2 linked regions of the Sus scrofa genome follow. Each later gene encodes a partner of the first gene's protein in a complex. Links are inferred from orthologs where the notes say so. Each region holds a gene or a part of one and is shown on either strand. Other genes may lie near its edges.

What was found.
Region 2: PRKG1 (region 1) and CNN1 share a complex: the UniProt entries of both Homo sapiens proteins name them as parts of the cGMP kinase signaling complex. The link is inferred for Sus scrofa from reciprocal best matches to the Homo sapiens genes PRKG1 and CNN1.

Annotation. Positions count from the first base shown.
Region 1 is NC_010456.5:98,785,186-98,800,362, forward strand, and holds the start of PRKG1 (cGMP-dependent protein kinase 1), read right to left. Parts: upstream 7,896-15,177; 5' UTR 7,689-7,895; coding exon 7,423-7,688; intron 1-7,422. UniProt on the Homo sapiens protein: Serine/threonine protein kinase that acts as a key mediator of the nitric oxide (NO)/cGMP signaling pathway. GMP binding activates PRKG1, which phosphorylates serines and threonines on many cellular proteins.
Region 2 is NC_010444.4:70,176,794-70,191,685, forward strand, and holds CNN1 (calponin-1), read left to right. Parts: upstream 1-6,576; 5' UTR 6,577-6,637; coding exon 6,638-6,700; intron 6,701-7,688; exon of another isoform or gene 7,689-7,845; intron 7,846-8,759; coding exon 8,760-8,881; intron 8,882-11,628; coding exon 11,629-11,695; intron 11,696-12,095; coding exon 12,096-12,233; intron 12,234-12,405; coding exon 12,406-12,516; intron 12,517-12,989; coding exon 12,990-13,136; intron 13,137-13,216; coding exon 13,217-13,462; 3' UTR 13,463-13,963; downstream 13,964-14,892. UniProt on the Homo sapiens protein: Thin filament-associated protein that is implicated in the regulation and modulation of smooth muscle contraction. It is capable of binding to actin, calmodulin and tropomyosin. The interaction of calponin with actin inhibits the actomyosin Mg-ATPase activity.

The sequences.
Region 1 (15,177 bases):
CTCAGGGGACAGTAACAGTATCACAGAGTTGAACAAACAGACCTACACAAGTATTTGTAAGAGGCATATTTAAAAGGATTTTTAGGATTCCCTGCAAGGTCTGTCAGTATTTTGGCAGCATTTAAGGCCAGAGTGCTCAAATAGACACATCTGAGCATTTAAAACAGATTTCAAAGCCCCCTCTAAATTGGTCTAGAAAGGAGGGATAGTTTGAATTAGTAACAAGTCTGAGAGCATAACTTAAAACTGCAGTCTTAAAAAACGTCTTAAAAGAAGAACTGAATTACATAATCTTTATCACAAGCAAAAAAAATTAACCTAAGTCCTAACAAGATAATTATAGCCAATTTCTTACTGGATTTGCCTTAATAAACACTCAGATGAAATCAGCACATACATGTTACACCTTTCCACACCACATAACAAAACCACGCCTAGTATCAACATATTAACTCTTCAGGACTAATTTCCAAGAGTATGTCAAATCAATGCACGGAAAGAAAACAACAACAAAAACCAAAAAACAAAACGAAACAAAACAAACAAAAAAACATGCAGCCAACATATTGGACAGGAAAAATTACAGAAAGTATTTTAAAACTTTCTAGTTGATATAAACTTTTGATTGATGGAATTTAAAACCACTCTATTTTCTAATGCAGCATGGTTTCTAAAAGCAACATAATGTACACTGAAGTCTGCAATCCACCAATAATGTTTAGAGAGTCGTTCAGAATAAGGTTAAGAGTTTAAAAATGGAATCTGTGGTTTAGAACAACAAGAAAAGAGTTAAGTTCTATCAGCTTTTACATAATAAAAACCAATCTACTTCAAAGATTTTGGGGAACTATCTATTGTTTACATTGAGAAAATATTTTACAGTATTGTATATTTTAAATATGATCGATTAATAATTCTTTGTAAAACTTTAGGAAATTCAAGTTATATAATATCTGAAACATCTGAAGACATGAAAGATTTTGCAAGGTTAGAGTGATAGTCTGAGCAATATCCCTGCTCTGTGTTTGCAGTTGAATTATTTCTGCAAATAATAGATCTGGCAGGAGTTCCAGATGTCAAACTAGAGGAGAGGAACCAGGGACCCAAAAGAGAGATACACAACACAGGTGGATCCAAGAACAAGGAAAAGGAGGTAAAAATCATCACTTGGTAAAAGTAGGAAGTATTTCAACAAGAAGCAACAGAGATTGATTCTAGAACCCTGTTCTGAGAGACAATATGGAACTGTCTTCAGTTCTGAGCACAAGCATTTGACAGGCTGCAAGGTGCTATGGTCTATTTTACAAAAACAGTCCAAGAAATAAATCCTCCTTTCCCCAAGAAACTGATCAGGTCCACCTACAGGAGTTTCAGAATAATAACTACCATAACAAGATCGTAAAATGAATAAGGTGGCAATGTGTATGTGTGTGTGTGTGTAGGTGTTTGTACATGTGCATATACACATACACATTACTCATACACATGCCTATACACATACACATTAACGCACACACATACATAGCTCCTTTTCTCTTCAGGGATCTAGCAGCACAGGACATAAGCAAAGCTGGGCTCAAAGTCAGTACTCGTTTTTGACAATCTCCAAACTTCTGAGCTTTCACTTTTGTGAAACAGGATATGCAATCCCTGGTTTATCTCAGAGCTCACAGTAACTTCCAAGAGCTACAAGAACCCCAGATAACAAAGGGTCCTGAACTCTGATAAGCAAATTCTCAATGGCAAATGAAAATAATTATTCCTACTCTGAGCAACTATGAAATCACCTGAAAACCTTATCAAAAGAAAGGCTTTTTTAATGTACTCTCAGCATCTCCTACACAGTGCGGTGAGAGGGCACTGGGGAACAGGCACTTAGTCAGGAAAGAGGAAAAAGATAGAACAGCTTTTGTTTTTTCAGGTCTGTTAGAAATATTTTCATGAGGGTCAGTCCAGTCTCTAACGAACACATGATTAAACGAAAACATTCAACCTATACACATATCAATGAGTCCGAGAGAATAAGAATTCCTGATGTATTACAAATATATCTGGAAAATATGCATGATTCCAGAACCCAAACCAACCCCAGAGGAGAGTGGATTTGTCTTAAATAATAAATACAAACAGAGCATAACTGGGAGATATCAATTCACCAGCTCCAGTATTGATGCAAAACAAAGAAACCTACATTGTCTTTTTGGTCCCATTTCTGAGATCCCTTAAAAGGCATTTCAGGAATGACTTGCTCAGCTTTCACAGCACTGAAACCAGGGTACTGTCTGCCTCCTGTATTGCTTTGGCTGAAAGTAGACATGAGGTACTTATGCTCAGAACCTGCCCTCCTCAAATTAGGGTCAAGACACGGGGTCTTGACAAGCCATTCTGCCTAAGGATCCTCCCCTCTCCTCCTCAGCTTTTCTCCCTTTTAAAAAACTCTCACTGTAAATATTATGCATCTGAGTAAGTGAAATGAATGTCCTCTCCCAGAGGCTCCTGATAGAACATTCCTGTGTTAATCCAGAAAGGATAACTGGTTAACATACTGGTATGCTGTCAATTAGTGATAAATTCCTTTGGATGGAAGGATGGGTAGGAGCGAAGGGATTAGCAGGAGGGATCTGGAAGGGAAAAGGTTGAGTGAAGGATATCCAGAGGCAGCGACCAAGATCATTTTCACATCCTTTATAACTGCACCATTCATTGGTACCACTGTGACATGACACTGTGCTAGTGAAACTGTGTGAGGAAGGAAGAAGAGGGAAAGATCTGGAAATGACAATCCAGGACCCACTGAGGAAATTCTGGCCTGGTATAGGACACCCAAGGCACAGGTGCTGGATGCAAGAGCCCATGGTCACTTTTTTATGAGGTCAGTTTCGTGCTGGCTCTCAGATTATTTTTAATCCTATTCTAATGTAGGGCAGGTTCATTTCTTCCTATGTCGAAGGATTCACCAGTTAGTAAGATGGAACTGGCTTGATTCCAAGGCTACAGAGGGTAGCAATTGAGAACAGGGGCTCTAAAAACTGCAGAATCTGAGTTTGAAACATGTCTGGCATTTCCTAACTCTGCGATCTTAGGCAAGTGACTTAACTTCTTCAAGCCTCAGATTCCTCACATGAAGAGTAAGTATGTGATTTAGGACTGCTGGGAGAAAACAATGAGCTACTGAAATAAAGAGCTTAGCGCTGTGTTCAAATAGCCAAGATTAGCTATCTTTATTATTCTTATCATCACTATTTTAAAGCGTTGTGTATTTTCTCTGTGAGCAATTATTAAGCTGGGCCCAGAATCCAGCGTGTACTCGCTCATTTCACTGAGGTTGCTTAAATCAAAATTAGGCCAAATCTCTTGATTTAGTCTGAAGGTTAAACCAGCTGAAATGAATCAGAGATGCAAAAGGCAAAGAGTTTTCTGGGGCATCCATTCCAAAGCATCCAGGTCCCAGTGGAAGGATGTACAAGTTCCAAATGATGAACTGACATCACCAAGAATCAAGGGATTTGTGACAGGAATAGCTCAAATGACTTTGGAATACAATATATTATTCCTGTAACAGATAAATAACGATTCCAGCCTTTTGCTTCGGCTAATTGAGGAACAACAACAGTATGCAGTCCTCCGAGCTAACTAGGTGGTCAAAATGAAGAATGGAGGTGTATGTTAAAAAAAAAATTAGGGGAAGAATTAAGGATATTAGGCAATTCTTCTTTTACGTTTTTTTTTTTTTTCTTTTTCTTTTTAGGGCTGCACCCACAGCTTATGGAGGTTCCCAGGCTAGAGGTCGAATCGGAGCTATAGCTGCCGGCCACAACCCAGCCACAGCCACAGCCACAGCCACGCCAGATCCAAGCCACATCTGCAACAGCTCATGGCAATGTCGGATCCTTAACCCACTGAGTGAGACCAGGGATCGAACCCGAAATCTCATGGTTACTAGTTGGATTCGTTTCCCCTGCACCACAGCGAGAACTCCTAGGCAATTCTTGATATGGTGTATATGCATGCAGGAAATCAAAAGTTCACAGAAAACTATGTGAAATACTCAAGGTTATTTGGCAGAAAGTGATATATATAAATGTAAAATATCATCATCGTCGTCATCCAAAACAGCCTAGTTTTCGATGATAATCACTTGATCTCTACTGGGCACTTCTAAGAGGTCTGCAAATGGGTACTGCAATAAGTCGGATGTTTTCTTTTTAAACACGATCATCATACTGTACACTTGATACTCATTCTGAGAGCTCAGATCTTCCCTTTCCCTAGTACAATTTTCATCTAAGCATTCCTTAGATACTTAGATCATTCTTAATGGAGATTGTGCATTATACCCTCTGTGAACGCATGGAAATCTGGCTAATTGGACTGACTTGATTACAACAGTCGGTGAATTCTCCCATTTCCTTCCACTACTGTAAATGCTTAAGATATTTTTATCACAGATTATGTAAATATTTTAGATTGCAATCATTTTCTGAAACAGTGGTTGCAGGCAAAAGCTCTTTTATCATTCTGCCCACCAAAGAAAATTCCTATACTTTCAAGATATGTTTCTTGTTAGTATTAAAAACTGGGTGTCCTAGCAAAGTTTGAAACAAACCTGTAGCATGAATAGCTTTCACTACACCCTATGGTAACTGCAACTGAACAGTCGCTTTGTCATAAATTGGTCTCTTTCAACCCCAGTAAGCGCATAAGGACAGCACAACCTTTAACAAAGGATACAGGAGGTGATGAAATATCTACTCCCCAAAACTGAATACCGGAAAATTAGCAAATATACTTTAATTTTGAAAGCATCTTGTTTGCTGTTAAATGTTGTATCCCAGAAATGCTTTTCAAATTATTTCTTTTCTTGGCCAAAATAAAGTGTCTCACCAAATAATTAAGTTAGTACTGTCTCTTTAAATGCTGGGATGAGTCCTTAATTCCAGTGGTTACTATCCTCATATATTATTGCTGTCAAAATTGAGTCAGCTTGGTGAAAATACACTCCACGCTTCTATTCGAAAGTGTAAAACTAAGTGCTGAGTGGGAAAAAGTTTACCCTCAGTGCCAGGGTAAATCAGCTCGGAGAGAAAGTAGAAAAGCACTTCAAGCTACTTGCTGCAGACACAAAATAGGCTCCCGACCTCTACTGCGCATGATCCACTCTTTTGATGACCGTTCCTACCCCTAACCCGAAAATGCTAGGAGTTGGGGAGAAGGATAGAAAAAGGAAGATGGTGTGCACGTAGGAAAGATCAGCCATTTCATCTCAATCCACACAAAAACTGCCTCTCATTCCTCGGGAGACTTCCTATCAAGGAAAATAGAAGTGTCCCTTTGAAAGCTAGCTCCTGAATGAGAATGGACTCTGGGATGGGGAGCGTCCTCTTCTGTCCTCTCCAGATCCCAGTGAAATCCCTCCTTTGCTGTTGAGTGCTGCTGGTGGGGCAGAGTCCAGACACAGATCTGAAATTTCAAAAATGCGATAAAGCCCCAGCCGGTCAGCCCTGGGAGGCGAACAGCTGCCGGGTGACCGCTGATGAAGTGGCTTCTTAAGGAGGTGGGCAGATTGATTCCAGCTGCTGAGCGCGGGGCAGGGCAGCGGCCGAGGAATGCTCAGCTCAGCTGAGGCAAGAGGCAGCAGCTTCCCAACCAGTGGCAAAGCCAACTATTAGCTCTGATTGCCTTCTTGGCCTGAGAGAAGGAAGAATGCCTTTGTTCCATCTGACAGGGACTTTCGAGGCAGCCCGAGGCCAAAAGGTACCATGTGGACAGTGTCATTTTATAAGTGGAGTAAAGCTCAGGAAATCTGAGTGTTGTTCTTTGAGATGGTTCAGTGAGAGCCACCAGTTCCCAAGGTGAATCCTATCTGCCTGATTCCTGGTTCTCTGCCCCCAACCCACTCCCAGCCTCTAGCTCCTTACCCCTACCCAGTCTCCTTTGCTCCCTCCTCCCCTACCGAGCACACAAACACTGTAATCAGTACGCAAGACAGGGACTGGGTGCGCTGGAGGAGTGGGGAACACTGAGAACCCTCCAACTGGCCTAGATGGTCAGGACAAGAAGACATGGTCTTTATAAGCACTGGCTTCAAAGTCAGAGAGCTTAGGGGGAGCGACTAATTTAGGGGTCCCCTGAGGGCCCCAAACTCAGACACCAAGAGGGAAGGGGTAAGAGGCAGGCGGGCATGAAGGCAAGCCTAATGGAATATTCAATATCCTGCGAAATGCACTCTCGGCCACGCACTTCCAGAGACTAAAAGCCAGTAATGGGCTTTGGAGTCTGCACTTCCTCTCCCTAATGTCCAGAGGCGCTTTAATGCTGCAGCTAATCGATCAGTCTTCTCCGGTGAAGGCAGCGAGTGCAGAGCAAAAGCTTCCTACTTGTGGCCAAAATCGCCCGGCCCCCTCTACACACCCCGAAAGAGCGACACACAACTTTGAACTGGCAGGATTTGGCTCTCGACGTGCCGGAGGAGGAAAGGAAGGAGCCTGGAAGCGCCCAGAGAAATAGCTCCCCGCCCTCTTTATCCCAACTTTTCCAAGGAGAGTCTCAGGAGGAAGACAAATCAGGCGGGGGCATTATTATCCACCTTGGGCTGACCAGTAACCCCCAACCTGCTTCAGGTGCAAGGTCATCTAGCCACCTCCAAGCCCAGGGCAGCCCAAGATGTGGCACTTCTGGAAGGGACACAAACTGAGCAAAGGAACATCCAGAAAGGGCGGGGGGGCGTTCTTTACAATTTCCTGCTGACATCACTTGCTGCCTGGAAAATGACCCTCAGAGGCTGATCCCTACAGTGGAGACGCACCCCAGCCCCGCCTCCCTTTGCCCACCCCCTCCGCGCCTTCCCAGCAGGGCTCCTGCTCTGGACAAGTTCTGTCCCTAAATTGAACCTAACCCTGCTCAACCTCCTGTCGCCACTCCCAGGAGGCTCCCGCGGCGCACTGAGCATGCCCTGTGGCCTGGGTCTTGGTGGGGGGGTCACCTCCAGGAAGGTCTCCAGGCCCGGAGATGGGCCGGGTTGTGTGCCTGAGTGGGCGCCCCACAGGGGTGCGTGAAGAAAAGACCGCGCGACGGCGTGCAGAGTGACCAAGTTAGCCGGCGCGAGAAAACTTTCCACGCTCCTTCTCCCCACCCCCACTCCGCAGGGGCGCGTCTCTCCGAGGAGCTTGCCTTTCCCAGCCCGGCGGAGACAAGCACGGCACGTGATGGGCAGAAATAAAAATAAACACTTCCCATTCCCCGCCCGCGAGGGCCACCCCCACTCGGCGCGCTGCGGACAGCAAGGGGCGCCGTGCCCGGAGCCGCCCCCCCCGCCGCCGCCGCCGCCGCCAGGAACCCCCAGCCCCTGAGCCGCCGCCTGGACGGCCACCGGGCCCGCCGGCTCAGAGCAGTGGCCACGCTCCTGCCCGCCTCGGCGCCTACCTTTCGGATTTGGTGAACTTCCGGAATGCCTGTCGGAGGTCGTGGAAGGACCTGTACGTCTGCGGCTCGGCCGAGATGCCCTGTGCCCGGGTGGTCCGGGGGCCGATGTGGGTCGAGGGCACGGGCAGCACCGACTGACATTTATGGAGCTTCCTCTTCAGCTCCTGGATTTCTTCCTCCTTCTCTGACAGCCGCTTCTCCAGCTCTTTGATCCTCTCCTCCTTGAGCATGAGAATCTTGGCAAAGTCTTCCTCCAGCTCACTCATTTTTTCCCTGAGCCCCTCTGCAAAACTTTTTCTCGGGCGGCGGCGGCGGCTGGGACGGCAGCCGGGAGAGGCGAGCGCGGAGTGAGTGAGTGAATGGGCGCTAAGTACTCGAGCGCAGCGGAGTGCTGCCCCTAATGCGCAGCGAGAAGCCGATTTCTTCGATCCACTTCTGCTGAATGGACTGAAAGCACCGAGGGGAGGATGAGAAGTCTAAAAGCGATGGAGAGGAGAGGCAGAGTGCTAATCCCCAGCCTCTCCGGGGAATAGGTGATTATCTTTCATTGAGAAACCAATTAGAGCTGCCCTTCCTCCCCTGAGACCCCCCCTCCCCCGTCCCCCTTTCCCAATCACTTCGTGAGAACACGGCGCAGGCCACCCCACCGAGAGCCTGGTTTCTAGCTGGGAGGGTTGGACCAGTGAGCCTGGTCTCACCCCATCACACAATAATCACTCTTCCACGCTATATGGTACCAAAGGAAAGGGGTGGGGTGGGGTAGGGGGGGAGCTTTATGCCACTTGATCCTTGAAATAGCAACAATTACCATGTGATCTGGCAGATGACGCAGCGCTTGTAACTGGAGCCTAAAGACTTTGTGGGGTGTGTGTGTGTGTGTGTGTGTGTGTGTGTGTGTGAGTGAGAGAGAGAGAGAGAGATTTCATAAGTCTTAAACTGCCTTTAGACAATAACCTGCATGAATTCATCGTCTTCACCTTTTCTTATCTGCTCTGGATGGTGAGGGAGGGTATGTGTGAGTATGTGTTTCTTAATGTGAAGCCCCGTGGTTGTGACCCTAAGTAATGAGAATGACAGGGCACTAGCAGGTCTAGGTTTTTTTCAGCATAAAATGGTAGTGGAAATAGTAAACTAAAATTGTTGGTGGGGAAGTTGGGTGAATATGCATAATGAGTCAAACGTTTACCGAGAAGAAGGCCATGAATTGATTGTAAACTTCTTAGACTTTGGATTTTATTTCTTTGGCTATAGTTAAAATTTGTATATTGAGCATACAAATTATATCGCAGTACCATTCTGTTTGGTTGTGAAGTGAGGGCCACCAGTGTTAAACTACTAGCTCATCCTACAATTCCAGTTTTAGGGAGAAATAGGGTCTGCCATTCTCATTTGTCCCTCACCTATTCATCCATCACCACAGCCTCTGCTAAAGGGATTTTTATCCACACTGGAACCGAGAGTATTTGTGATTCCTGCACTTAATTTTTTAATATATGTCACAAGGAGCATTTTCATAATATAAACCACTGTTTAAGAGTTTGGGTATATAGGAGGAGCATTTCTTCAGGTAATGATCCACAAATTAATGCATCTTTTTTCAAAGGAAAAACATAGGTGCAAAGTAAGATATCAAAGTGATTTTGTAGAAATAATAATTTTTAAGAAGAAAGATCAATGTACAACCACTGTACTTTTTAAAACATTTTATAATGATTTTTATTTTTCCATTATAGCTGATTTGCAGTGTTCTGTCAATTTTCTACTGTATGGCAAGGTGACCCAGTCACACATACATGTATACGTTCTTTTTTTATATTAGTTAATGGATTTTATTACATTTATAGGTGTACAGCAATCATCACAACCAAATTTTACAGCATTTCCATCCCAAACCCTCAGTGGGTCGAGGGTTTTTTTCCTCACATTGTCATGCTCTATCATAAGTGACTAGATATAGTTCCCAGTGCTACACAGCAGGATCTCATTGCTTATCCACTGGCTACTTATTAATAAAAATGTTTTTGCTTCATTGAAACACTGAAGTAAAGGAAAAGCAGTCATCTACTTTGGTTTATAAATAAACCCTAAAATATATTTTATTCTGAAGATTTATACTGTTAGTTCTACTCATCTAATTGTTTTAAATTAAAAGCATTTTAAGCCATATTGAACTTCTTAAGCTCATCAGTTGCTCAAGACTGGCTACCGTCTACTCATATTTGAGAAAAGGGTTTCTGTCTTTACATTTAGTATTCTATTACTTCTATCTATGGAAAACTTAATCTGTTTATAGTCCTTTTAGAAAGGCTCAAAATAATTGACATTTAAGAATACATTAGAAAAAAACTTTTCTCACCTTCAAAAATCTAGGCATAGGTTCAATTTTATTTGTGGAAGATATAGAAATAGTTTTAAAATGACTCCTAAATGGACAGGTTTTTTTTCAAGTTTATACTAACATTAAATGCAGATATTCAAATATGTTTCTCATGCTTATTAAAAAAAGAAACTTTTTGACTAAGTTTTCACACATACCTCGAAACTCTAAATTCATACCTATCTTTAAAAATTAATATTTTTTAAATAAACCAATTTTAACTTAAGTAATATTGATACCTAGTGATTTTAAATCACGTCCATCGGCTTATGAAATATTTAATTTACAGCACAAGGAATGCTTAAGAAAAGACAGCCTGGTAGACGAATAAACATTGAATTATTAAAAAATCATAGCCTTTAAAATCTATAAGCAACTTTAAAGATGATCCAACCACTTCATATTATAAAGGAGAAAAATGAGATTTTGAAAGGTGAGGTCAAGATCACCCAAGGGCAGAAGTTTGAATCCAGGATTACCCAGGCCATGCAGCTCCCAGCTTGAAGCCTGAAAATCTAGAAATTCTATGATTCTGACAATCTAGTGTTAAAAAATGTAGTTTTATCGTTTGTTCTTTGCTTTTAAATATGTAGTCCTAAGTTTCAACTATCAAAACACAAAGTGTTAATGAAGCCTTAGATTTTTTTTTTTTTTCCTTAAAGGAGAAGGTCGCCATCTAGTGCCCTTGGAGAAATTTGCCAAAAAAAAAAAAAAAAAAAATCACAGTGAAGTAAGGCTAGGTCCTTAAATATCTGTACAAGTGTTTTCATGCTCCATGTTGGAGAGAAAGAAAAAAAATATCCAGAATTTTGTGTCAGAATAAAAGTTTTTTAAATTACAAGTTTGAAAATCTTTTAGCCACTGGATAATGACGAGAGTGGTGATAAACATTCATTGAGTATTTAATATGTGCCAGCACAGGGTTAAATCCTTGATGTGACTAGCTGGTTTTAACCCCACCATGACTCTATAAGGAAGTATTATTATTCACTCTCATTTTAAAGATGGAGAAACTTATACCCAGCCAAATTAATTTGCCCATGGCCACAGTGCCCAGATTTGACCCAGGCTGTCTTAATTCCTGTACATACTGCCTCTACCTGAAATGCATTAAAATGCCCATTTCTCTATGAGCCCAGTGACAAGCAAAACTAAAAGTTCTTTGTTAATGGGAACATGCTAAATTTAAAATCCTATACAAACCCTGATAAGTATCTAAGACTCTGGCTTCTCAACAACCAATCTCTTGACCAAAATTGTTTTCCTTAGGGTATTTTGGGATATATTATACATTCCATATACAGTTTCAAATGTTTATTTAAAAAATACGTGTACCTTCAAATGTTATGATGGTGCTTTCCCTCTCTACCCTCACCCCTCGAATAAGGAACGCTTTCTAAAGAACCTGAAGCCTTTTAGATGTGAGTAGCTCATAGGGAGCTCCTGTCCTTTAATTCAGATTAGTGTCACAGGGCACATTGGGAAGACAGTGTCTATAAAGAAAAAAATTCCAGGACAATAATCAAACTGACCAAAAGTCAGTCTTTTTTATTATCTTTTTTATTATCACTATGTGCCAGGAGTTCTCAACAATGTCAGTGATAAAATACTCCTCCCCCCCAAAGTATATTATTGGTCTAAGTTCAAGCTATTGCTGATTTATTGTTGATTGAGGAGGCCACTCCCATTGCCCCACCCTTGGAACAGCACTGACCTTGGTGCATGTTACAGCCATCCAGGGTGAAGAAAACAGTCATGCACAGATGATTTATGGGAGGTCCCAGGGTTGGCAGTAGAGGGGTGCAGAAGAAAGTTGTGGAGAAATGAAAATAGATATGTGGTCCAAGTTTTAGAAATGAATGAGGTAGAGGTACGGGGAATTCAAGCCGTCTCGTTTCAGTACCTTACATCCAATCACTTCTCTTGGTTAAAAAGATGACAGTATTTGTGGAAATTTGCATGCAGTACTTTTTTTTTTTTTTTTTTTTTTTTTTTTTTTTTGTCTTTTCTAGGGCCGCTCCTGCGGCATATGGAGGTTCCCAGGCTAGGGGGTCTAATTGGAGCTGTAGCAATGCCAGGATCCAAGCCACGTCTTCAACCTACACCACAGTTCACAGCAACGCCAGATCCTTAACCCACCGAGCAAGGCCAGGTATCGAACCCGCAACCTCATGGTTCCTAGTCAGATTTGTCAACCACTGAGCCACCAAGGGAACTCCAGCATGCAGTACATTTTCTATCAAGGGATGCAACTGGTGAACTAAGAGTACTGGACTGTAACCAAAAGGTCTATATTTATGTCTTGGTTCTGTCACTTTCCAAGCTGTCTGCTCTCAGGCAAATCCCTTGACTTCTCCAGCATTCACTTTTCCCATTTGTAAAATGGGGAACGGGAGTCAGCTTGAGTCCATTTCCTCTTTCTCCCTTCAATAGGTCTATGGAATTCTGCTTTCTCTGTGACTCACATTTTGAAATTATTAGTTTGTTCTTATTGACAACATTCAGCTGTGTCCTTTAGCTGAGTTTAAAACTGAAAAGAAAGATTTATGATGGAGTATGGTTGGTCCTATAAACATTATAGTGACTTTGTGATTAACAGAAGTTTGGAGCATTTTCAGTTAATTCTACATCATACTAGATGTGGCTTCAACATTGTCACCTACATCACATTCTGGTGACCATAAAGTGTGGTCACACCTTAGGCAAGATAAAAGCTTGAAGTCCTGAAATACACCCACACCTATGTTAACCACTATGCAGAACATGAAAATAGCAAATGAAGTGTTGCCTCAGTTTCAGTTTATTGAATTTACTTAATGTATCATAGGTTATTTTTTTTCCCTAATATGTCCTGACAGAAAACCATGTATAAATTCTTTTCACTACATGGTCCTTTTGGTGTAAATGTAGTTCTTTCTTATGCTGCATGCCAAATCCTGAATGCCTTTCAGGATTTTCTGTGATTGCTGTCTAGGCATTTGAAAAAAATTTCTTCCTAGAAATTCTGAAAAATAAAACTAAGAGATGATCGTTCTTAAATATTGTAGAAATCAAACTCTGTAATATATTAAAAACTTTGGACCTGTAAAATGGAGGCAGAGATGCTATGGGACTTTAGGCAAATAATTTTACCCCTCTGAGCCTCAGTTTTCCCAAATATAAATTTGACATATGGATAGTAAATTCTCACAATTGCATCTTTAAGGCTCAAAGTGCCATGACAACAAAATGTTATTGTCATTTAAATGTGACCCTACATAAATAACAAACAAAATGGTAATGGATCTTCCACTTTGATTCTTGCCAGGGAAAGTAGTCCAGTTAGGGGTGGAACAGCCTGGCTTGGTGGTGGTGGTAATATTTATACTACATTCAGCCTACTCATTACTTGTGGAGTCAGAATTGAAAGACAGCTCACAAGCTTCTCACCACTTGATATATAGGCAGCTTCTACCAGTCATTCAAACACTAGTCAAGGTGCTGCTATAAAGGCATTTTGCAAATGTAATTAAAGTCCCAGGTCAGTTGACTTTACGATAAGATCTTCTGGGTGGGTCTGACCTAATTAGACTGGGTCAGGACTGGGCTCTTCCTGGAGACAGAGATTGTAGGCATGAGAGGGATTTGACTCAACTCAGGGAAGATTCTCCAGTGTGGCTTTTGCTGACAGAAGGGACTGAATGACCAGGAATGCAGGTGAAATTTTAAATGCCGAGAATGACCATTGACAATCAACCAGGGAGCAGGGACCTCAGTCCTATGACCACAGGAAACTGACTCCTGTTAAAACTACAAGAGTTTGGAAGAGAATCCTGAACTCCAGATAAGAATGATACATGGCTGACACCTTGATCTCACTTTGCTCCAAGGACCTAACCATGCTATTAGCTCCACAAATGTAAGATAAAAATTGAGTGTCTGGGGTGAAGAAAACAGAACTCATTAAGGGTGCTCTTTAGCTGCTGAAAAATAGAAGCTGGCTATTCTTGGAATTTGGTTTAAAGCTGGACAGATTTGCTTTGTTATAGGATCAAAGCTTTGTCTTAAGTCCTCATTTTCTTTTAAAATTGAATAAAATCTCTGTGTACAGAAAAAAAAAAGTGTCGTTTTATGTCTCTAAGTTTGTGGTAATTTGTTAGACAACAATATAAAACTAATGAATTACTCAACTACCATTTTAAAATGTCCATTAAAAATGTCAGAAATGTTTTACCACTCTCAGAAACCTGACTTTACAAAAGAGTCATTTTTAGTGAAATTACTTTTAGTACATTTCAAATGGATACTTGGGGACATAAAAAGTTGTTATAAATTATAAATTGCTTGAAGTACACTGATGACAAAACAAATAGCCTTTTGAGAATGACAAACTCTCTTCCATAAAAGATGTTTATGTTTAAAAGTTGTGCCTTAGTATGACTGAAGTATAAATCCTTCCAACAATAGGTTCTAGAAAGTGTTGGAACCGCTCACTAGCTTCAATTTCTATGTAGAAATATTATCGTAGTTTACCTTAGGTAGTGAATTTACTCTGTGACCTTGGGCAAATTATTTCATCAGCTGAGCCTTAGTTATCTCATCTGTAAAATAGTATTATGTGTTTTATAGTGCATTTGGCTCTAGGAGTACATTTTTGGCTCTGGAATTTAAATATCTTAGATTCTTATTCATTGGCTGTTTCCATAGTCATTCATGGAAATTAAATGCCTCTACATCATAATGCCTTCCAGGTTCAGGTGCTAATCAAATATTTGAGAAGAAGTCTGGGGAAAGAATACAAATCCTTTGAGTTTAGCCATGTGTTTGCTTTGATATTTTGATTTGATTTTTAAAGTAAGTGACATTGGACTCATCTATGTAGGACTCCTTTTTTATAAATTGTTACACGATTTAGAAAGCAGATGTACACGATATGGAATTCAAAAAAAGCGAAGGACATCCAATGAAAGGTAGGTCTCCCTCTCATCCGACTCCCTAGCTACCCAGACTCCCTTTATGAAGGCAACCACTCGCTCTTACCGTTGACTTGGGCGTGCCTCATTAAATAGCATATCCATATATAAGCATATTTGTATATAAATATATACATATATTTTTAGGGCCACCCCTGTGGTGTATGGAAGTTGCCAGGCTAAGGGTCCAATCAGAGCTGCAGCTGCTGGCCTACACCACAGCCACAGCACGGCATCCAAGACACGTTTGCAACCTACACCACACCTGGATCCTTAACCCACTGAGTGAAGCCAGGGATTGAACCCACATCCTCATGGATACTAGTTGGGTTCATTACCACTGAGCTATGATGGGAACTCAATAAATAACAATATTTTACACAAATTTGGCATGAATGATTTAATATCTGGTTTGTATGTTAGCCT
Region 2 (14,892 bases), on another chromosome or scaffold:
AGGAGTCGATCCAAACACAGGCATTTACATATACATAGGTATTTAACAACAGTACAATAGTATATGTGAAGCTCTGGTGTAGATCCTGCAACATGCAGCCCTCAAAACAACTGGAGGAAAATAGCCTTACAGTAGAAATCCTGGCAGACATCGCCTTAACCAAGGGATCAAAGTTAACGTCACCAGCAATGAGTCATAGTGACATCATAAGCCCTTGGTATGGGAAGGAGACATCACCTTTCTGGTATCCTTTCCAGTAATGCAAAATCTCCAGTCTAATCTAGACAAACCAAACTGAGAGGCTACAAAGCTACTGACCAGCACTTTTCAACAGTGTCAAGGTCAACCACCACCACTAACAAAACCACCACCACCCCTTACCACCTTACCCCCCCACTCTTAAAAAAAAAGTCAAGGTCATGAAAAATCTTTAGCCTTTATCACAGGCTAGAGTCCAAGAAGACATGAAAACTAAATGCAGTGTGGGATCTTGGATTGGATCTGGAACAGAAAAAGGACATGAGTAGAAAAACTGGAGAAATCCAAACCAAGTCTGTAGTTTATTAATGGTATTGTGTCAAGGTTAATTTCTTAGTTTTGATAAATGTACTATGTATATGTAAGATGTTAACAGTAGGGGCAGCTGAGTGAAGGGTATATAGGAACTCTGTGCTATTTGTGCAACTTTTCTGTAAGCCTAAAATTTTCTCCAAATAAAAAGTTAAAAACAAGCCTACTGAAGCAGACACTATTAACATGTCCATTTTCCAGAGGAGGAAACTGAGGCACAGAGAAGTTAAGACACCTGTCTGAAGTCACATGGCCAGGAAACACCAGGAAATGTCCCAAACCCCTGGACTATGGATTCAAAGCCCCCACTCTTAACCATAGCACCACAATGCGTTTATTTAGTGGAAACACAGTGCTGCATATTCTGCCATCATCTTTGTCTTTTTCACACGTTCCCTGTTGATAGATCTATAGGGTGACTTGTTATTAAAAGGTCATTGCAATAATGTCATTCTTCACACCCAAACTTGTACTTCTTAGGAATGTCCTAAAAAGGAGATGTGCTGATTCAGAAGGTATATTAGAAAGGTAGGGTTCTCTGGAAAAACAGAGCCAATAGAAATCATATATATATACACATATATATATATCAGACACAGATCTATTATAAGGAATGGACTTACATAATTATGGAGGCTGAGAAGTCCAAGTCCAAGATCTTCAGTTGGCAAACTGGAAACCCAAGAGAGTAGATGATGTAGTTCTAGTCCAAGAACGAAGCTCTGAGAACCAGGAGAGCCAATGATATAAGTGCCAGTCCAAGAGCTGGCCAGTCTTGAGAGCCGAGAAAAGCTGATGTTTCAGTTCCAGTCTGGAGACAGGATGAGATCCATGTCCCAGCTCAAGGCAGTCAGGCATGAGGAGTTCCTTCTTACTGGACTCTGGTGGGGGGGGGGGTGTCGAGGGGGGTATCAGCCTTTTTGTTCTATTCAAGCCTCCAACTGATTGAATGAGGCCCATTCATGTTGGGGATGGTAATCTGTCTTAATCTGCAAATTCAAATATTAATCTCACTCAAAAACACCCTCAGAGGAGTCCCCTGGTGGCCTAGTGGTTAAAGATTCAGTGTTGTCACTACTGTGGCTTGAGTTCCATCCCTTGCCCAAGAACTTCTATATGCCACAGGCAAGGCCAAAAAAACAAGCACCCCCCCCGCAGGCCCCCCCATCCCCCAAAACCCACTCTCACAGACAACACAGAATAACGTTTGACCAAGAATCTGGGCATCCCCTGACCCAATCAGCTTGATACCTAAAATTAACCACCACAAAAGATGAGGACATTTATCTGAAAGCTATTGACAAGCTGCCCATACCCATGAACCATGTTCCCTAAGCCACCCCAGCACTGTGTGTTGTCAGGTGTACTGGTTTTTGCCAATCTAGTCCACTTTTTAAAAAAGCTCTCTTGTTCCACCAGACATTTTTCCTACAAAACATCTTGCAAAGCTCAAGGCTGGACAAGGGCGTGGGCAGCTGTAAAACAGCCCGGAATAACCCCAGCCACAGCCTGTGACCCAACCCTTCTCTCTCCTCCTCCTGGTCTTCTGGGGAGGGTTGGAATGAAAATGCAAAGGGAACCCTCACCTCAGCTGTCCTCAATCTAGGAGGTGCTGGGAATTTATGCCCTTCTTTGTGCATGGTTAAGCACCAACATTTCAAACAGATGTGGTTCAAGTCCTGGCTCACCAATTTTAATTCCATTTACTCAGCATTTTTTGAGCATCTGTTGTGTGCAGGTACTCTTCTGGGCACTGAGGATAGAGCTGTGAACAGAACAAGCAAAGCTCTGCCTCTGTGGAATTTCTGTGCTTGCAAGATGAAAGGACTATGACAAGAAAAAGCAATGAATGAAGAGAGAATGGGGGGGAGGTTTTTATAAAATCGCTTATGAAAATGAGTTTTTGGAGTTCCTGCTGTGGTGCAGTAGGTTATGGTTCTGGTATTGTCTCTGTGTCTCTGCAGTGGTTCAGGTTGTTGCTGAGGCTTGGTTTCGATCCCTTGCCCAGGAGCTCCCATATGCTGTGGGTGCAGGCAAAAAAAAAAAAAAAAAAAAAAAAGGAAGGAGAGAGATTTTGTGAAGGCCAACTACCAGGTGCAAACATTTAGGTGAACAGCTCCCCACTGCCCATCCTCTCACAGTCATTGGGGTGGGGGTGGTGTGGGTATGCTAGTATTTTTTATTGCTGTTATTATTTTGTCATTTTAGGGCCACACTTGCTGCATATGGAAACTCCTAGGCTAGGGGTCAAACCAGAGATGCAGCTGCTGGCCTATGCCATAGCCACAGCAATGTTGGATCTGAGCTGCCTCTGGGACCTACACCACAGCTCATGACAATACCAGATCCTTAACCCACTGAGTGAGGCCAGGGATCAATCCCGTGTTCTCATGGATATTATAAAGCTTTGTTACCACTGAGCCACGAGGGGAACTCCTATGCTAGTATTTTAGAGCAAATGGACAGGAAGGCCGCTCTGAAGAGGGGGCGTCTGAGGAGAGGAAATGAGGGCATGCAGAAGTCTTGTGGAAATGTGTCCTGGTGGAAGGAACTGCAAAGGTGAGAGCATACTTGGGCACTAAGAGATCATGTGGAGGGATCTGGGAGCAGCAGGATCAGCGTGACCCTGGAAGAGTCGCTTGCCATCTCTGAACCATGAGTTTCCTTTTTTTTTTTTGTCTTTTCTAGGGCCTCACCCGCAGTATATGCAGCTTCCCAGGCTAGGGGTCCAGTCAGAGCTGCAGCTGCTGTGCTACGCCAGAGCCACAGCAATGCGGGATCCGAGCAGCGTCTGCGACCTACACCACAGCTCATGGCGACGATGGATCCTTAACCCACTGAGCAAGGCCAGGGATCGAACCCGCAACCTCATGGTTTCTAGTCGGATTCGTTTCCACTGCACCACCGCTGGAACTCCTATGAGTTTTTTTTATCTATAAAAAGGGTTTAAGAATTTATTCACCCCAGAGAGGGTGGTGATGAGGATTAAGTGAGATTGTGCCTGGCACAGAGCCTAGCATGGAGTGAGCTGTCCAGAAACAGAAGCCATTTTGAGAGGGGACAGCTGGTGGGGGATGGCCAACCCTGCTGCCAAGATAGGCAAGTGCAGGGGGAGGGGGTGAGACTCTCCTGGAAAAGGGCAGTGTGTGTGTGTGTGTGTGTGTGTGTGTGTGAGACAGAGAGAGACAGAGATAGTTCTGAGAGAGTCTGGAGGTTTCTAGGGGATCTCCTAAGATTAAGGAAAGGCAGGGCTTTTCTTTCATGACTGTCCTGGACTCTTCTGGAAACTCCAGGAAGCCCACCATTTTAGATGGGAAACTGAGGCACAGAGGGGCTGTGACCAGAGAAACGCCAGAGAGGAGTCCAGTAGCAGACTGCACATCAGTCAGCCAGTAATGGGGGAGTCCTCAGGGGTTGAGGCCTCGATATTGGCTCAAGTCTCTCTCTCTGCCTCTCCCCGCATCCAGCACAGAGACAATACAGAGACATAGGGGAAATCGGTGACCCAGAGACGTGGAAGAGAAACAGAGACATAGCAATGGAGATAAGAGAGGGGAGACATGGGGGCAGAGATAAGGGCAGAGACAGTGACACTGGCAGATTCGTAGAGACAAAGAGACAAAGGCTGAGGCAGAAAAAGGCTAAGCGTCGCAGAGCGACAAAACGACCAAAAGACTGAGCAAAAGATACAGAGACTCTGACCCAGAATAGGAGGGACAAACGCACCCAAAAAGGGCTGCCCCCTAGGGAGACCCTGGGCTGCCCCGTCTGGGGTCAGGCCAAGTGCTCCCCTACCCCGCCCACGTCGTGCTTGGGCCCTGACCTCAGAGCCCGCGCGGATTCTATAAATGGCCAAGCGGCAGCGGGCTGGGGGGCGGGGCCAAGTGAGTCAGAGCGTTGCGTCATCACGGCCAAGATGCTTCCAAGCCCCGCCCCGCCCCTGCTAGGCCGCCAGGGGGCGCTGACCCCGAGTTCGGGCGAGGCGCTGGACCTCGCATGCGCATTAGCGACCTGTGGCCGTCAGAGGGTCGCTCAGCGTGGGCAGGATCCCGGAATATACTTGTATGAATCCTGGCTCCGCCGCCGTCGAGCTGTGTGACACCTTGCAGTCACCTTCACCCTCTGTGTATCATATAGACATCACATCATCCAGCTGCTGTGAGGAATGAGTTAACGGATCCGAAGCACTAAGTACTTAGCAGGAGCTAATTGTTAGCTCATTTTATATGTGTTAGTGTATCTTCAACATATCATTACACGCCATCGACTTGTTCTAGTTGCCTTAGCCCACTAGTTCTCAAATGGGAGCGATCTGCCGCCATCCCCACTCCCACCTTTCCTAGGGACATTTGACAATATCTGGAAAAATTTCTGTTTGTCAAGACTAAGGGGAGGGGGAGTTCCCGTCGTGGCTCAGCGGTTAACGAATCCGACTAGGACCATGAGGTTGTGGGTTTGATCCCTGGCCTTGCTCAGTGGGTTAAGGATCCGGCGTTGCCGTGAGCTGTGGTGTAGGTTGCAGATGCGGCTCGGATCCCGCGTTGCTGTGGCTCTGGCACAGGCCGGCTCCGATTCGAGCCCTCAACTGGGAACCTCCATTTGCCGTGGGAGTGGCCCAAGAAATGGCAAAAAGACAAAAAGACAAAAAAAAAAAAAAAAAAAAGTAAAGACTACGGGGAGAGGAGTGCTTTCCTGGCACTGAGTAGGTAGAAGCTGGGGATGCTGCTTAAAGTGCTGCAATGCCCAGGATGGCCCCCCGCCACAATGAATAATCCAGCCAGGATGTCAACAGTACCAAGACTGAGAAATCCTGCCTTAGCCCCATAGTGTTACTGGCAGAGGCTGGGGATTCATATTCTGCTGTGCCACTGGTGAACTGTGTGGCACTGGGAAAGGAATTCCACGCCCTCAGTGTCCCCATCTATAAAATGCATATAATAGCAGCATCCACTTATGAGGGTGTCATGAGGTATGAATTGATGATACATATACAACACTGGGACGAGGACCTGACTTACAGACGGTTGTCATATAAGCACATCACAGCTGACCCCTTAGCATGTGGCCAGCAAATTGCATGTCCTTAACATATTATTAGTGAATGGCAGGTTGCTGACCCCAAGTGTTCTAATGTGGTCTTGACATATGTAGCATGATGTAGGCATGTCATCCACCCTGTGGTCCAGGGGTGAGATCTGGCCTGGCAGGGCTGCTTGTAGGTGTTCCCTCCAGGCCAGTCTATCTGGGACAGGGATATAGGGATGCCTGGCACCCACAAACATTCTCACTCCGTGGTTCAGGAAACCCACAGGTGGATGGACAGGGTAAGATCCAGGATCTCTGCTCCCCCAAGTCCTTATGAGGGAGTGGAAGGGGTTGAAGTGGGGTGCCAGGCTCTCAGCAGAAATACTGCTGTTTCCTGAATCTTTCTGTGTGCCAGGCAATGTATTGGGCATGTTGGAGGCGTTATTTCTTCTGATCCTCACAACACTCTCATGAGCAGGCATTGTCATTAGTCCATTTCACAGATGTGGCAACAGAGGCTCTGAGAAGGGAGGGAACTTGCCTACAGTTATAGACGGTTGGTGTCTGGACTTAGAATGGTGCTAGATAAACTACCACAGGTGGCAGGCAGTCCTGTCTCAAGACTGGAGAGAAATGAAGAGAAGTGGCCTCAGAGGCATGGGGAGATGGCCTCAGAGACAGACACAAAGAGACTAGGAGACCCAGCCAGAAGCCCAGTGAACAGTGGGGAGTGGGGAAAGGTTGGTCTCTGTCTGGCCAAGCCCCCCCTCAAAAGAATAACCCAGGCTGCCCCCCTAGGTGGAAACAATGACACAATCAGCTCCCAATACCAAGGCCCTGACATCACGAAGAGGGGGGTGGCCGAGGTGGGGGCGCCCCGCCCCCTGGCAGGCCCCTATGGCCAATGGGACGGTCCTGGAAGAGTCCCGGGCCGCCTCCAGAGCTTCAAAAACGTGTGAGGAGGGAAGAGGGTGCAGACGGAGCTTCAGCTGCTGCCGCCGGCTTCAGCGCACACTGCCACCGCTGCCCACCATCCGCCAGCATGTCCTCTGCTCACTTCAACCGAGGCCCCGCCTACGGGCTGTCGGCTGAGGTCAAGAACAAGGTAGGGCTGGAGGGCCTCCCCCCAGGCCTGGCCCACTTGCCCTGCCAGGCCAGAGGTCCCATTCTTGGGGTTCCCTGGACCCCTTTCCTGCTGATCCCATGTGACTTGGAACTAAGAGAGAGAAGGGATGAGTATGGGGAAGGTGCTGCCTTCCTCCCTGGCCTGAGCATCCCAGAGCCATCAGCTACTGTTGGGGTGCGAAATGGGGGCCCTGCAGGCAGTCACAGGTAAACTGAGGCACTTGGTCCACTGTGAAAACCCCACTTGATTGGGGTCCTCTACTAACCGTTTTTTTTTTTTTTTTTTTGATCCTGGGGGGCTGGGGAAGGACCTGATTTTGCCCCCACTCCCAGCCTGACACAGAATTTGGGGAGTGCTCCAGAGCTGGGGTTCCTGGGAGGTGAGGCCCCAAAGTGTGGGAGATTGTAAAAGAGAGAGAAACATCTGGGGAGGGCAGAGAGTGGGCATTAGGGACATAGCAGGGGTCTCCTAATTTTGGAGTTGGCAAGAAAGGGGGAGGGGACAACACCTTCATGCTATAGATGGATAAATTGAGGTTCAGAGAGGACAGGCAAGTAGCTTGGGTCCTACATAAGGGAGGTGCCAAACTGGGCCCTTGAACTTGCCCCCTCTACACACACCAGAATGGGGTCAGCTTCTCCATGGCAGCCAGCTTGACGTCCCCAAACCACTGGAACTCTCCCATGAGTGCTGCCCTGTCTGCTCTCCCATGAGTCTCAGCCCCATTTGACAGAGGGGACCACTGAGACTCAGGGTTCTTTTCCCAGGGTTCCACAGGCGGCAGGTAGGGAGCTGGGATTGGCAACCTGGGTCGGGGGGATCCTCGATTCTGGAGGAGGGGGCGGGGCGGGGGGAGCGGGTGCTCAAGCCAGGGACAGATCCCAGCGCCGCCCCCCCTCCCCCCAGCGCCGGCCCCAGAGCCGTGCGGAGCCGCCGAGCCATATAAGGCGGGCTCCGGAGCCCGGCCCGCGGGGCCGTGCTATATAAGGGCCGGTTTGTTTTATAAAGCCGGGCTGGTGGGGAGGGGGGCGGCAGGGCCGGGGCCAGGTGAGGGGGCCGCTCCCTCCCATCTCCCCCTCCTCTTGGAAAGGCTCTCCAGGGACCGGGAGCCTGTTGGAGTTGGGGTAGAGGGTGCTGGAGAAACGGAGGGGGGCAAAGTGGGAGAGGAGGCTGCGGCGGGGAGAGACGCAGCCGGGGATTCTGGAAGCCTGGGACTTGAGAGAGACGGATGGGGGAGGGCGAGCCTGGAGCGAGATAAGACTGAGACAGGGATGGAGGGAGAGGCGGAGAGACAGACGAGCCCCACCCTTTCCAGAAGCAAAGAACCTGGAGTCAGAGATGGAGAGAGACCTAGGAAGGCAGAGATGGACCAGTCAGGAGCCCCACCCCCAGCCAGACAAGCAGAGATGGGGTAGCACGACAGGGCCCAGGAAAGACAGAGCTGGGAGAGAGATAGAGGACATCCGGTGATGGGGAGAGAGACAGAGAAATACAGACAAGCATGGGGCCAGGAGTCGGACAGACAAGCCCTTGCCCCCAGACAGAGAGGGAGCCTTAGGGATGAAGACTTGGACAGACACAGAGATGGAAGATAGAGCTGTTCCCTGCAAGGCTGCATTTTTTTTTGGGGGGGCACCTCCTTAGGGCTTCTCCTCCCCTGCCCGAGGCTTCCAGGAGGGGGGCAGGGCTGGGGGAAGCTAAGCCCCAAGTTTGGTCTGGAGGGGGAACCAGGAGTCCAGGCGCCACCCCCCAGCTCTGAGTATCTTGCTCTCCACCCCTTTGTCCACATTCTCTGGTGCCAAACCTCAGAATGCCTGGAATGGCCCCCTGGGCAGGTGCCACCTCAACCCTGGCCCTCAGCACCCTCCCCAACCCCCACCCCGCCCCTGTCCCCCCTCATTGGATGCTGGGGCAGAATTGCCTTAGTTGGGAAGGGAGGAGGGAAGAGATCAGGCCTCCGGAGGCTTGGACTGGGTCTGGGAGCCAACCCCGCTCCCCATGGCGTCCTCACCACCCTCTCTGTGTCCCCTGCCCGCAGCTGGCCCAGAAGTATGACCACCAGCAGGAGCAGGAGCTTCGAGAGTGGATCGAGGGGGTGACAGGGCGCCGCATCGGCAACAACTTCATGGACGGCCTCAAAGATGGCATCATTCTTTGCGAGTAAGTGGCCCAGACTCTGCCTTGAGCAGCCCCCCTAACCCCTCACCTCTGCTCGCTGAACCCCTCAAACGACCATAAGCTCAGAACTAGATTGGGCACTTTATATCTGATACCTCCAAACAGAACTCTAAGGTGGCAGATAGTCATTGTGCCCATTTAAAAGTAAAGAACACAGGCTCAGTTAGGTAAAACACATCACCCAATGTCCCATGCTGTTCCAACAGAAATTACTTTAGAATCTAGAGACTGGACTGCCAGGCATACAGGGCAGCCACATTTATGGCCTCCAGAGCCCCAAGAAAGGGAGGTGCCTTTCCCCCTGCCACTCCCCAGCTAAAAGGCACCAGGCCACAATGACTGTCACACTGGTTTGGGGATCTGAGGGATGTGCCATAGTAATTTAAATGGGCCCTGATTTTGCACTCCTCTCAGAACCTAATCACCAAGGAGATGCAAACTCTTACAGCTCCCAAACCCCGATTCTAGATTCCACCTTCCAGATTCATAACCCTAATTCTGGGCTGAGCCCTGAGCCAAGCCGGGGTCCTGTCTGCATCTCTGAGTCTGACCCAGGGCAGGTTGACCATGAGGGTCAGAGCATGTGCTTGGGAAGCTTCCTGAAGGTGCAGCCTTCCAAGCTCTGGCTGTTGGAAACAGTGGGAAGGGGGTATTTGTTCCACTGTATCCACTAGGAATGAGGAGTCTGGGAGTGGCCTGGTGTCCCAGGCCTTAAAGAGTGCAGAGCCACCCACCCATGTATGGAGTAGGTGCATTTATGGAGCTCCTGCTGTATGCCTGCCAGCCAGGTCCAGGCACTGGGAATAGTGAATAAAACAGACTTGACTTGGAGCTCTTATAGAGCGTTCATCCTAGTGGGGGTGATCGATCAAAGAACTGATGAAATAATCACATACTTGCCTGTGACAGGAAATGCCTTGGAGAAGAGACCAGCCCAAAAGGACAGGGGTTGGGGGTGGGTGGGATGAAGGGTTGCTGCTTTGTACAGAATGGTCTGGAGGTCTTTCTGAAGAGGTAACAGTGGAGCAGAATCTTGGATGAAGTGAGGGAAGCTGCCAGGATGCCATTTTAGGGGAGAGTGGGCCAGGCCAGTGGACAGCCAGTGCAAAGGCCCTGAGGTGGGAGCGTGCCTCCTGGATTCAAGGACCACTGAGGAGGCTGGTGTGATCAGGGAAAGTGGAGGGAGTTAGCTGGGGGTCAGATGGTACAGGACCCCTTAGCCAGGTGAAGGAATTGGGCTTTTATTCTCAAAATGGTGGGAAACCATGGGAGTGCTTTGAACTGGGGAGTAGGGAGTTCTCTTGTGGTGTAGTGGGTTAAGGATCCAGTGTTGTCACCACATTGGCTCTGGTCACTGCCATGGTGCAGGTTGGATCACTGGCCTGAGAACTTCCACATGCAGTGGGTGCAGCAAAAACAAAAAAATAAAGCAAACCAAAACAAAATGGAGAGTAACTGGAGTTGTGTTAAGAAGGCCATTTTATTTTTTTTTTTGCTTTTCTTCTTTTAGGGCAGCACCTGCGGCATATGGAGGTTCCCAGGCTAGGAGTCCAATTGGAGCTACAGCTGCCAGCCTTTGCCACAGCCACAGCCATGCAGGATCCGAGCCGATTCCGTGAACTACACCATAGCTTATGGCAATGCCAGATCCTTAACCCCCTGAGCTGGGCCAGGGATCAAACCTGAAACTTCATGGCTTCTAGTCAGATTCCTTTCCTCTGCGCTGTGATGGGAACTCCAAGAAGGCCATTTTAGGAGTTCCCGTTGTGGCTCAGTGGGTTAAGAACCCAACTAGTATTCATGAGGACTCAGTTTGATTCCTGGCCCCACTAAGTGGGTTAAGGATCCAGCATTGCCACTAGCTGTGGTGTAGGTAGAAGATGTGGCTGGGATCCAGTGTTGCCCTGACTGTGGTATAGGCTGGCAGCTGCAGCTCCCATTTGACCTCTAGCCTGGGAACTTCCATAAGCCACAGGGACGGCCCTAAAAAAAAGAGTGAAATGAAAAAAAAAAAAAGGTCATTTTATTGGTGGTATGACAAGCATCTGGAGCGGATGAAGTGGAAGCTGGGAGCCCATGGGGAGGGCATGGCAAAAGCCCAAGAGATGCTGGTGGCTCAGAGCAGGGCTTCTGGAAGTCTTCAGGAGGCAGAGCCAAAGGAGTTGCTGAGGGGTTGGATGTGGGGGTGAGAGAAAGAGAAAGGAGAGTCAAGAGCGGTGGAGGGCTTTGTCTGAGGCCTGGAAGGGCGAGTTTATTGGGCTGGGGAGTTCTGTGGGGCGAGGTGGGTGTTAGTCTGGGGGGGTGCTTTTGTTTGGGATGCCCATGTGGGAAGCTGGAATGGAGAGTGAGAGGCGGCTGCAAGACTCAGATCAAGGGAGTGCGTGTGGCCAGAGAAGAGGCCTCAGTTCTGAGCTGCGGGCTCTCCGTGGGTAGAGGCCCAGAAGAGAAAAGGAGACTAAAAGGGTCCTCTGAGAGGTGGGAGCACATCTGGAGATTCTGATATGACCTTGATAGGGAGGCTTTTTGATGGGGACTGATCCGAGGTTGGACGTGCCTGTGTGTGTGAAGGTGGTGTGGCGGGGCTGCAGTTGAGGGCCGAGTGCAGTCAGAAACAGAGAAAAAGGATGGTGCCCACTGTCATCCTACCCCCTTGTCCCACTGGAGTTGGGTTTGTTTGGGTGGGGGCGGCAGGGGGCACCTTCCTCACTCCCTTCCTCGACTCCCTGTAGGTTCATCAATAAGCTCCAGCCAGGCTCCGTGAAGAAGGTCAATGAGTCCACCCAGAACTGGCACCAGGTGAGCCCCGACTCTCTTAACTCTTTCTTTTTCTTTTTTTTTTTTTGGTCTTTTCATCTTTTCTAGGGCTGCGCTCGCGGCATATCGAGGTTCCCAGGCTAGGGGCCTAATCGGAGCTGTAGCCACCGGCCTACACCAGAGCCACAGCAACTCGGGATCCGAGCCACATCTGCAACCTACACCACGGCTCACGGCAACGCCGGATCCTTAACCCACTGAGCAAGGCCAGGGATTGAACCCGCAACCTCATGGTTCCTAGTCGGATTCATTAACCACTGCGCCACAACGGGAACTCCTCTCTTAACTCTTTCAACCCTTGGCCCATAGCCCCTCAATCCTCCACCCAGTCCCCACCCCCGCAGCCCTCCCAATCCCTGACTGCTGCCCCCCTCCCCTCCAGCTGGAGAACATTGGCAACTTCATCAAGGCCATCACCAAGTATGGGGTGAAGCCCCACGACATCTTTGAAGCCAACGACCTGTTCGAGAACACCAACCACACACAAGTGCAGTCCACGCTCCTGGCCCTGGCCAGCATGGTGAGTGTGGGTGGAGGGTGGGCATGGGTGGAGAGAGGTTGTGGGTGCTCTGCACTGGGATGCGGGTGTGCCCACTTGTGTCCCTGAGCCAGTGCAGGTGCTGCTGACTGCTAAGGGTTTCTGAGGGGACAATGCAGCCCAAAGATTCCCTGCCTCCCTTCACCCTCCTCAGGCCAAGACGAAAGGGAACAAGGTGAACGTGGGAGTGAAATATGCGGAGAAGCAGGAACGGAAATTTGAGCCGGAGAAGCTAAGAGAAGGGCGGAACATCATTGGGCTGCAGGTAATGCCCCTTCCTCACCTGGGTCTCAATGCTGAGCAGGTGGGGGTGCGGGTGGGGGGAGCTGAGGAGGCTTGGAGGGTACCCTGGTCTCCGCAGGCTCTGGGGGGACAGGATGTTTGGCTTTTACTAAACTATATGCTTGGCATTTTCTGCATCCTAACTCACTCCTCCAGCGGCTTAGGGCATGGGTACTGTTATCATCGTACCCTTTATATAGATGGGGAAACTGAAGCCTGGAGAAGATAGCTCACTTGCCAGGATTGCCCAGGTGATGACTGGCAGGGCTGGATCTTGAACCCCAGAAGTCAGGCCACTTAGCAGTCATGCGACACACCTTCTCTGGGCCTCAGTTTACAGTCTGTAGCCCAGGGTAGAAACAGTGCCTCATTAGAGGGCCATGTAAGTGTCTGCTGACATCAGTTATATCTTCCGGCCCATGGGGAGATTCTGTAACCCTTCTTCTGGCTCCCTAGATGGGCACCAACAAGTTTGCCAGTCAGCAGGGCATGACAGCCTATGGCACCCGGCGCCACCTCTACGACCCCAAGCTGGGCACGGACCAGCCCCTGGACCAGGCTACCATCAGCCTGCAGATGGGCACCAACAAGGGAGCCAGCCAGGTGTGTGTGGGGGCCATGTGGTGGGCTGGTGGGCCGTGCCCCTCACTGTCACCATGGCCTGACTGCACTGCTCTCCATAGGCTGGCATGACCGCTCCCGGGACCAAGCGGCAGATCTTCGAGCCGGGGCTGGGCATGGAGCACTGTGACACGCTCAACGTCAGCCTACAGATGGGCAGCAACAAGGGGGCCTCGCAGCGGGGCATGACGGTGTATGGACTGCCCCGCCAAGTCTACGATCCCAAGTACTGCCTGACGCCTGAGTACCCGGAGCTGGGCGAACCTGCCCACAACCACCACCCGCACAACTACTACAACTCTGCCTAGGGTGCTGGGCCTCCCACCTTCCCCCAGGGAGGCTGGCTGCTGCTCTTGGTGGGCCTGGCCTGGCCTGCTGACCCCCTCCCCCTGCATGGCTCCTCCAGCCCCCTGGCACCTGCCTACAGGGTTAGTGTTTGTGGGGAGCAGACTGGGGAACCTGTGGGGGGGAAGGGGGCACCTCCCTGGAGCACTACGAGGTCCAACATGGAGCTGGGTGTTCCCAACAGCACCCAAAGGACGCACTGAGCAAAGCTACCCCGCTGTCCCCCACTCCCCACAGGTGGGTCCCCCCCCGGACCAGAAGCCCCCCCAAGCGAAGCCCCCAGAGCCCAGGCTCGCGCCTCCCCCCACCCCATTCCCGCAGTGGGAGCAAACTGCATGCCCAGAGACCCAGAGGACACACGCGGTTTGGTTTGCAGCTGGCCTATGGGATGTGACAGTGGCGTTTGTAACGCGAGCACTTTCTTTTTCTACTTCACTGGAGCACAATAAATAGCTGTAAAATCATGGGAGGACTCAGGGCTGCTCTCTACACACAAAGAGCTCAAAGTTGCTTGCTGGATCCAAGACAGGCACCCCTCTCTGTACCCACCCACGCTGCATGTGTACAGCGTGCACATGCTCTCTGCAGCCCTAGCGCAACTCATGCATGCAATATATACTCCTACCCCAGACACACAGAAACATACCCCCTCACACAGGTACGCAACATCCACACACCCATGCTTAGAACCTTTTTACTTTTGGGAGCATGTTAAGGGGCCAAGCACTGGGAGCCTGTTTATCAATCAGGAAAATGAGGCCATGGACACTTGTGGGGTCACAGGAAGCTTAAAAGATATGACGTCTCCAGACAGGGGATGACATTTGGCACTGACCATGAGAATGGGAAATAAGCTGGGTCTTGGAGGCCCCTGTGGGCAGGGAAAGCCCTTTAGCCCTGGAGTAGACTGGGGGCAGGGGAGCAAGGCAGGGGGGGAGGATGGGCTCTTTGGGTGTCCAGGGCAATGGCCTTCACCGACTGGCACAGGGCGGTTAAGTAGTTGACTGCAGGGTGCAGCTGGCCCATGCGCCTGGCTCACTCTCTGCCCTCTTCTTAGGGCTGATCTCTAAGCCTGGCCTGCCAGCCCAGGACCTAGAAGTTCTGGACAAGGTCCCAACCCCTCATGTTTCAGAAGGGACCCTGCTCCAGTTATCCTGCCCAGAAGCCATCAATTGCCAGGGTTCCAAAGAGTAGATGCAGCAGCCATGCTGGGGGCACAGAGCAGTGCTGGGCAGGGGTTGATGCTGGAACATGGGGACCTGTAGAGACAGACACCAGAAGACCCACTTGCACAGACACACACAGCCCCTGGGGCCTCATAAACCGGATTCCAGGCACTCTTGGCCAGGCCACCCCGGGTCCTGCTCCCCCAGGGCTGGGGCGGAGAAGCTAT